Macaca mulatta: one gene and its partner. The protein of the gene in region 2 interacts with the protein of the main gene of each other region in a biochemical or structural test. Links are inferred from orthologs where the notes say so. Each region holds a gene or a part of one and is shown on either strand. Other genes may lie near its edges.

Evidence for each region.
Region 1: of the proteins of METTL22 (region 2) and KIN, one has a biochemical effect on the other in vitro, tested with the Homo sapiens proteins (2 studies listed by BioGRID). The link is inferred for Macaca mulatta from reciprocal best matches to the Homo sapiens genes METTL22 and KIN.

Annotation. Positions count from the first base shown.
Region 1 is NC_133414.1:9,286,926-9,291,179, reverse strand, and holds the start of KIN (DNA/RNA-binding protein KIN17), read left to right. Parts: upstream 1-1,453; 5' UTR 1,454-1,493; coding exon 1,494-1,607; intron 1,608-4,254. Other genes in the region: ATP5F1C (ATP synthase F(1) complex subunit gamma, mitochondrial), read right to left, coding at 1,164-1,219. UniProt on the Homo sapiens protein: Involved in DNA replication and the cellular response to DNA damage. May participate in DNA replication factories and create a bridge between DNA replication and repair mediated by high molecular weight complexes.
Region 2 is NC_133425.1:9,860,361-9,864,556, forward strand, and holds the start of METTL22 (methyltransferase-like protein 22), read left to right. Parts: upstream 1-1,391; 5' UTR 1,392-1,481; intron 1,482-1,631; 5' UTR 1,632-1,967; intron 1,968-3,110; exon of another isoform or gene 3,111-3,206; intron 3,207-4,196. UniProt on the Homo sapiens protein: Protein N-lysine methyltransferase. Trimethylates KIN at Lys-135 (in vitro).

The DNA of each region.
Region 1 (4,254 bases), on a different chromosome or scaffold from region 2:
AATCTGACTTCTAAGGCCAAGCTACCAAAAATTCTATGTGGCTAATTCACATCAGATTTCATTCTGAAAATCTCGTATATTACTATCAGTTATTTGCTTAATGCAAAACGTATTTATTTCAATTAATGTTTTATGGACGCTTCAATATAAATTAGGATGCAAAAAACTGTAGCGCCTTAGAAATCCTCCATACTGTTTAGAGCAGGGAATTGCTACCACACAGCCTATAATCCCCTTAGCAGCGTGTCTGAAATTCTTCCAGATTCTGTCAAGATTCAAAACTCAACAGCACGACCCACAAACCAACTTTTACCTGCCCATTCCCAGGCCTTCTAATATGCATTCCCCCAGCCCAGGTCCCCCCACCTGGAACTAATGTTTAAAATTCTCGAGGCTCGTGGCACCATTTAGCTGCACCTCAGTTAACAAATACCACTTAAAGCCCACCGACCTCCTCCCCCTAGGACCTTGGGGCAATTTCATGACCTTGCAGGGTTATGGTGTCAGCAAGTGGTTTCAAGGCAGTGCTAGGTGTCCTTCCCTTCCCCGCCCTCAGACAGATCTATACCGTCCCTTCTGCACCAAGACCACCCTCAGGGGCATCTAGGATGTTCGCCTTTGCTGTTCCAGCACCCAGCAAAGCGTCTGCAACACGGGAGGTGCTCGACGGCCGCGCTCTCTGACTCGATCGAATCTTAAAGGGTCACTCTGTCCAGCACTGGAGGGTTTCAAAGGGCGTCAAGGACAAAAAGCACAACTTAACATTTCCCCTGGGCTATCGCTCAGGCTCCCGACACCTCGCGGGCCCTGAGACTGGGGGCCTGGCTCGCAGTGGAAGCTCAGGAAGTGTTGATTAGCTGAGGGAACTCAAGACCGCCCAGACGTCAATTTGGACTCAGGCCGCAGTCCCGAGGTCCCAGGTGGCCCTCGGCCTCAGGGGACCGGGCGGAACCTTGCTCCGCCGGAGCCGGGCCCTGCGCACGCCTCGCCGGCCTCAGAGCCACTTTCTGCAGCCCCCGCTACCCGGCGCTTCCGAGGGGCCAGGGGCCCAGTCAGGCCCTGCGACCCCAGATCTGCTCCTGCGCCCATCTCCTCCTCCCTGCCCCGTGCCCAAGCTCTTCCATCCCTTGCGGTCCTGCCGATCTTCCCGCAAGTTGCCATACCATTGAGGCTGCAAGGTCCAGGCCGACAGCCCAGCTACGCCCGCGCGAGAGAACATGGTAGCCCCAGCCCTGCTGAAGGTCGGTCAGGCAGGCCTCAGCGCGCATGCGCAGAAGCCTCCTAGCGCGTCCCTCCCACCTCGCTCTCTTCTTCAGTCTCGTTTCCTCGCGCTACGGCGAGAGGAGCCTCGCGAGCGTTGCAACCCAGTCTTCCCAGGACCCACCTCTTTCCGCCTCTCAGCTGGGATTTGTCCCGCCCACCGCCGCCAGCCAAGTTCCGTTTCCGGCTTGCTGGGCACTAGGGTCCAGAAAGTGACCGCTGCCGTGGTCGCCATGGGGAAGTCGGATTTTCTTACTCCCAAGGCTATCGCCAACAGGATCAAGTCCAAGGGCCTGCAGAAGCTACGCTGGTATTGCCAGATGTGCCAGAAGCAGTGCCGGGACGAGGTGAGTGGGCTCGGAGTGGCCCCGTCTTCCCAGGAGGGCCCCTGGGAATCCAGGATCAGGTCCTGGACGCGGGACTGAGGGCGCGGGGCCGGGGCTCTTGGGATCCGGGTCGTGAGGCTTCTGAGGTCTGCACTGGGCGAGTCAACTACTCAGCGCACTAGAGCCGTCCCTCCCCGCAGCCCGCGGGGCCAGCGGGCAGCCTGTGTTCTGCGACCCCTCATTCCTCCCTAGTTCCGATCCCCACCATCAAAGAAACGACATCAGAAAAGGTTTTGCAGCCCTCACAGGGGCGGGGATACTGCAATACTAGATGCCCGGGCAATGCCAGTAACAGTCATCAGCTCTGACTTGACTTGGCTCTTAAGAGAAACAGGGTGGTTAGGATTCACACCTCTTTTGGGATCAGTTGAAAAAGGAGAGCTAAGCTCTTCCACACAACTCATCTAGCAAGCATTTATTGAGAACCTACACTGTACCGGGCACTGAATAATACTGTGGTTAAGATTATGGATTTATCTGGTTTATGGATATATCAGACTGTCAAAATTTAAAGTCAAGCTGGGCCACTTACCAACCATGTGGTCTTGGTCAAGTTATTTACTTATATTCTCCTTTACTTATCTCTAAAGAGGGAATAATAATTTCACCTACTTGTAGGATTGTCGTTGAGTTTTAAATGAGTGAAGTATATATAGAGTGGCTCAAGGAGTCTGGGCAGATCTTGAAAAGCCTTATATGCTGCACTATGGAATTTACGCTTTTCCCCATTAAAGAGGTGGTTGATGGAATGCTGTGCAGGCTAGCGATGTGATCATAATTTTCTCCGAAGATCGGACTGGATTGGGTAAGGGTGGAAGAACACTGAGGCAATTGGAATAATCTAATCCAGTGTTTCTACAAGTGAAGGAAGAGATATTTTAGGTGGGACTCATACTGACTAACATTGATACAGTTATTCTCTTTAGTTCTATTAATGAATACCTGTATATCCATTATCTAATGTCTTAGTCTGCTTGGACTGCCATATAAAGTGCAATAGATTGGGTGGTTTAAATGACAGAAATTTATTTCTCACAGTTTCGGGGGCTGGGAAGTTCAAGATCAAGGTGCTGGCGTGGTCAGATTCTAGTGAGGGTCCTCTTCTTGGTTTGCAGAAACTGCCTCTATCCTCACAAAGCAGATAGAGCAAGCTCTAGTAGACACTTCTCTTCCTCTTTTTTTTTTTTTTAAGATAGGGTCCCACCCTGTTCATCATGCAGGCTCTACCCTTGTGACCTCATCTAAACCCGGTCACCTCCAAAGGCCCACCTCCTAATGCCATCCCCTTGGGGGTTAGGGTTCAACATATGAACTTTGGGGGGGACGCAAACATGCAGTCAGTAACACCCAGACTTAACACTTTAAGTAATCTTGCCATGTTTAATTTATAAAAAATATTTTAAAGTAAATTACCAATATCAAGATATTTCACCTCTAAATACTTAAATAGACATCTCTAAAATTTCAGGATTCTTTTCTATATAACCACAATATATGTAATCAACATAACAAAATTAATAGAAGTTCCTCTTTATCTAATACACATTCACACTTCCTCAGTTGTCCTCCAACTGCTTCTTGAAATCAAGATTCAATCAAAAGTCATGGACTGTTACAGATTTGGTTATTAGGACCCCCACCCCCCGAGTCTCCCTCATTATCAGCATCCTGCAACAGGCTGTTATATTTGTTACCGTGGATGAAACTACATTGACACATCAGTATCATCCAGAATCCATAGTTTACATTAGGGTTCACTGTTGGTGTTTTATATCCTATGGGTTTTGACAAATGCATAATGATATGTATTCACCATTATAAAATCTCACAAAATAGTTTAACTGCCCAAAAAGTTATCTGTGCTCTGAGTTATTAGGACTTTTAGTTTTCTCCAAATTTAATTCTCTCTATATTCTGAATTTAGAGTATAACCCATTTTCTCTCCACCCCTTTTTCTTTTTTTTTTTTTCCAGACAGAGACTTGCCTGTCTCACAGGCTGGAATGCAGTGATGCGATCTCACTCACTGCAGCCTCTGCCCCCCGGGTTCAAGTGATTCTCATGCCTCAGCCTCCCAAGTCGATGGGATTACGGTCACCTGGCACCACGCCTGGCTAATGTTTGTATTTTGGTAGAGGCAAGGTTTTGCCACGTTGGCCAGGCTGGTCTCAAACTCCTGTCCTCAGGTGATTCACCTGCCTCGGCCTCCCAAAGTGCTGGGATTACAGGCTTGAGCCACCGCGCCTAGCCTTCTTTTTCTTGACATTGACTTGTTGAAGAGAGGAGGCCAGGCTATTGTCCTGTAACATCCCATGTGTGTTGACTTGTTTCCTCTGATTGTCTTTTGCCTTCTAACTCGTAGTTTCTGTCAACTGGAAATTATATCTAAAAGCTTTGATTGGGTTAGGTTAAACATTTTGGGGAGAAAGAATACTTTGTAGGTGATCTTGATAGATTAATTTCAGGTTAAACACTTGTGGGGAGGAATATAGTTTTTTTTTGTTTTTTGGGGTTTTTTTTGTTTTTGTTTTTGTTTTTGAGACAAGGTCTCAATTGGTAGCCCAGGCTGGAGTACAGTGGCACGATCATGGCTCACTGCAACCTTGACC
Region 2 (4,196 bases):
CTCTCCACGTTTTATTATCAGTAACCGTGAAATTGATGTTGATTTAATTCTGTTTTGCAAAGACAAAAAAAAAGTAATTTAGACAAAGGTTGCCAGCTGAGGCCATGTGCGTGCATGTGTGTACACATGAGCACACAGGGATATAGATTTTACATATGTGGACTTTACACATGTTCCTGTGTATTTGTGTGCTGACATGTCTGAGAATGGACACCACTGTGTGTGTCTGGGCACGTCTGTGAACACATCAGTGTGGTGTATACCCCTGGCAGCTCCCCATCTCACGCACAATAAAATCCGAAGTTCTTACAATGTCACAAAAGTTCTAACCCTGGCTACCTATGTATCGTTTCCTACGGCCCATCCCCTGGCTTACTCCATTGTGGCCAGGCTGACTTCCATGATGTCACTGAACACACAGGTTGAGAAAAGGGCCAATATCACTGACTGTACTTTTTCTAAAAATGCAGTGACTCAGGCAAGAGATGTGAGAACCTGTGCTCTCTCCTGCTCATCCTCTTCAGGGCATTCTTCGGAGAGCTGTGCTCAGTCACCAACTCAGAGGCTTTGTGAAATTCTGCAGGCAAGAAAAAACGAGCAAACATGGATTCTTTTTTTTTTTTTTTTTTTTGCAAACATGGATTCTTATGTTTGCCACTTTGTCCCACCCCCTTGGTGTTGGAAACTTGATAAGCGTATGAATTAATGAAATCACTACCACCTATTAATAACAACGAGTACTGGCTGGGCGTGGTGGCTCATGCCTGTAATTTATGAGCTTTGGGAGGCCGATGCAGGAGGACTGCTTGAAGCCAAGAGTTCGGAGGCCAGCTTGGACAACATAACAAGACACAGTCTCTACCAGAAAAAAAAAAAAAAAAAGGTGCCACGCAACTGTAGTCCCAGCTACTAGAGAGGCTGAAACAGAAGGATTCCTTGAGCCCAGGCGTTCAAGGCCGCAGTGAGCTAAAACTGCGCCACTGCACTCCAGCCTGGGTGACAGAGCAAGACCATCTTAGAAAAATAAACAAACAAACAAACAAATGGGTACTAAGAGCATGGATAACGATTACACTCGTGATAATAAATGCAGTAGCATGCTGGTTAAATAGCACAGGCTCTGGATCCCACACCCCGGGTGAATCCAGGCTTTACCATTTAGTAGCTGGGCGAGTTATTTAACTCCTATTTAACTCCTTTAGAGGAATGAGTTTGGCCACACATGTGAGGAGATGTTCCCACCTAGGCGGGTCCCCTCAGCAAACACGTCTCACCTGCGACCAGAGTGAAGCCTACACTGCCGGCAACCCCCGCACGCATGCGCGGCCCGGGCAGGTAGGTGGAGCCACGGTGCGCTGCGGTCAGATGGTTGCACGCGGGGGCGGGGCCGCGCCTGCGCAGACCGCCTGTTATGGCGGCCGCCTGAGTCCCACCGACCGACAGCAGGGTCGGATGGGACCCCAGGCTGAGCCCCGCGGCGGGTAAGTGACTGGGAAAAGAGACGGGACAGGGTAGGGTGCAGGGAACCTCCTGGCGCCGAGCCTACTTTGAAATCCGAGCTCCCACGGATCTGAGGCCCAGATCCCTGAGGCCCGACCCCACTCTTAGCCTGTTTCCCCTTCTGAACACAGGTGTTGGGGGAAGAAGTCCACGTCGTCGCCTGAGTTTCCGTCCTGGGTCCAGGCACCTCTCCTTCGGTTCAAGATTAGGAAGGGAGGGCAGTGCCCGACCTGTGACTGTCTTTTGAGAGGGCAATAGTTAACCCACAAGGGTGGCGTTAGGAAGGCGACAAGACAAAGGACGAGGAGCCCCACGAGGGACGTCCCCGGAGCCCCTCACTACGACTCTGCGCGCCGTGGCCAGGCTACGTTTTACCCACCCCCAACACAGGCGTTCACACCCTACCCTCCGTTATCCAGCTCCTGGCCTAAATCGTTATGGGATCGCGCCAAATTCCTGATTGTTGAGTGAGTTGCACTTATCAGAAAGAAAGAGGAGGGAAGTTATTTCAACACCGTGATCCCAGCAAACTGCTTATTTGGGACAACTGACTGGGGACCTATAGGAGAGGAAGGCTGACAGCGTCTCAGTCTAGGCAGCGTCTCAGTCTAGTCCCCAGAGCCTTAGAAGAGCCAAGAACACGTTAGCTCCTGCTGCAGGGATGAGCTTGCAGCCCTATGGAGAGGTGGCGGGGCGGGTCCCCATCTGCAACCTGGGGCTCCTTTCTCAGCTCTGCCCAGTGAAGAGAGGAGCCCCAAATGCATACAGACCCTGCATTCCTGGAGGGAGACTTTTCCTGACTAGAGAAACTGTTACCTTTTTTCTTTCTTCCCAGCATTCACTTTAATCATCATATTGCTATAATGATAGTACTTACTATTGTTGCTTATTGAACGTTTACTATATGTCGTGAGCCCTAAAAGTGATCATTGTCTCATTTGCTCCTCACACAGGCCCTGAGGTAGGTTCAAGAGAGCCTTCTTATTCCCACAGAGCTGATTCTAGGGAAAACCACTTAAAGGGAGTCTCCTTCACCTGGGACTTACATTGCAGTGTGCATTTCTTGGGAAGCCCGGTTGGATTGAATTTAAAAATGGAAAATTCAATTAGAGATTAAGAATTTAAGTTTCTTTTTTGTCTATACTTAAAATTTAGTGTGTAATGTTATGCCCACTTTTGGAAAAAGCAAAGAACAGTGATTTTTCTGGGATGTAAGTTTTCCAACAAAATTGCACTATAGGCCATGTGTGGTGGCTCATGCCTGTGATCCCAGCACTTTGGGAGGCCAAGGTAGATAGATCACCTGAGGTCAGGAGTTCAAGACTAGCCTGGCCAACGTGGCAAAACCCTATCTCTACTAAAAATACAAAAATTAGCTGGGCATGGTGATGTGTGCCTGTAGTCCCAGTTACTCGGGACACTGAGGTAGGATCACTTGAGCCCAGGGGGCGGAGGTTGTAGTGAGCTGAGATGGCACCACTGCACTCTAACGTGAGCAACAGAGTGAGACTCTGTCTCGGGAAAAAAAAAAATGCACTGTGGCGAAAAAAGAAATAGCATCCTTTGGTTCCATTTTCAAAGAAATGGCTTTTGATTTTTTATTTTTACAGCAATATTAAAAACAGAAACTATATGTGAAAGTTCTCAGTTTTCCCCCAGGACATCTCTAAGTCCTGAGAGAGCTTGATCTGCCTTTGAAATAAGTGGTAGGTATAAGCTGTATTTTCTCTTCTGGAATCTGATCTAATTTTGCCAATCCCATTGATTAACAGTATTTGCCTGAAGGTCCAGCACTTTCAATGACACCATGAAATTCTGCATTGATTTGCCAGATTCACAGACTTTCTTCACAACCCACTTGCATTTTGATGGCTTTATAGTGTTGAGTGGGAAAGCTAGCATGGAGACCAATAAGGAATCATCTTTTTCCTAAAAAATTTTTTGTTGGTACAGCTTTTGCTACTCCACAACAAGCACTTAAATGTAGGAACTCCGGCAGTGTACTGGGATAGTTAGGACACCCTGAGTCATGATGACCTCTTTTTGCAGTTGAAGAAACGGGGGCCTGGCGAGATTTCATGACATGCCTAGGGAACACATCTACCCAGGTAGGAACAGCTTCTGTAGGCAGTCAGGGGTTACAGGCAGGTTTGGGTCAAATACCTGAAACCAACCCCAGGACAAGGAGGTTGCTGGTGTTTTATTAACACCTACTGTGAGCCCAGGACTCTGCTCAGCACTTTACCCACCCAGTAACACGGCATGAGATTGTGGCTGAAGAAACAGATGCAGAGAGGTGAAGTATTTTCTTGAGATCACATGGCTAGGAGGTGAGAGACCAGGGATCCCCACCTGGTCTGTCCAATTTGAAAGCCCATCAGACTACTGCTGTTTGATGATACTTTTCCACGAGATGAAACATGTGTTTGGAGGGAGATCCCCCCTGTTTTTGACAACTTTGCCTCAACCATGGTTTTCCAAGTTTTAGTTATTAATGTATCACCTGCATAATTTTTCTGTATCTGTGTATCACCTGTGTAGTGATTCCCTTAATTACTTTTCCTTTAAATCCTCTCACTTTTTTTTTTTTTTTAATTTGTTTTTGAGAGAGGGTCTTGCTCTGTCACCCTGGCTGGACTACAGACTGCAGTGGCGCATTCTCGGCTCACTGCAACGCCCGCCTTTTGGACTCAGGT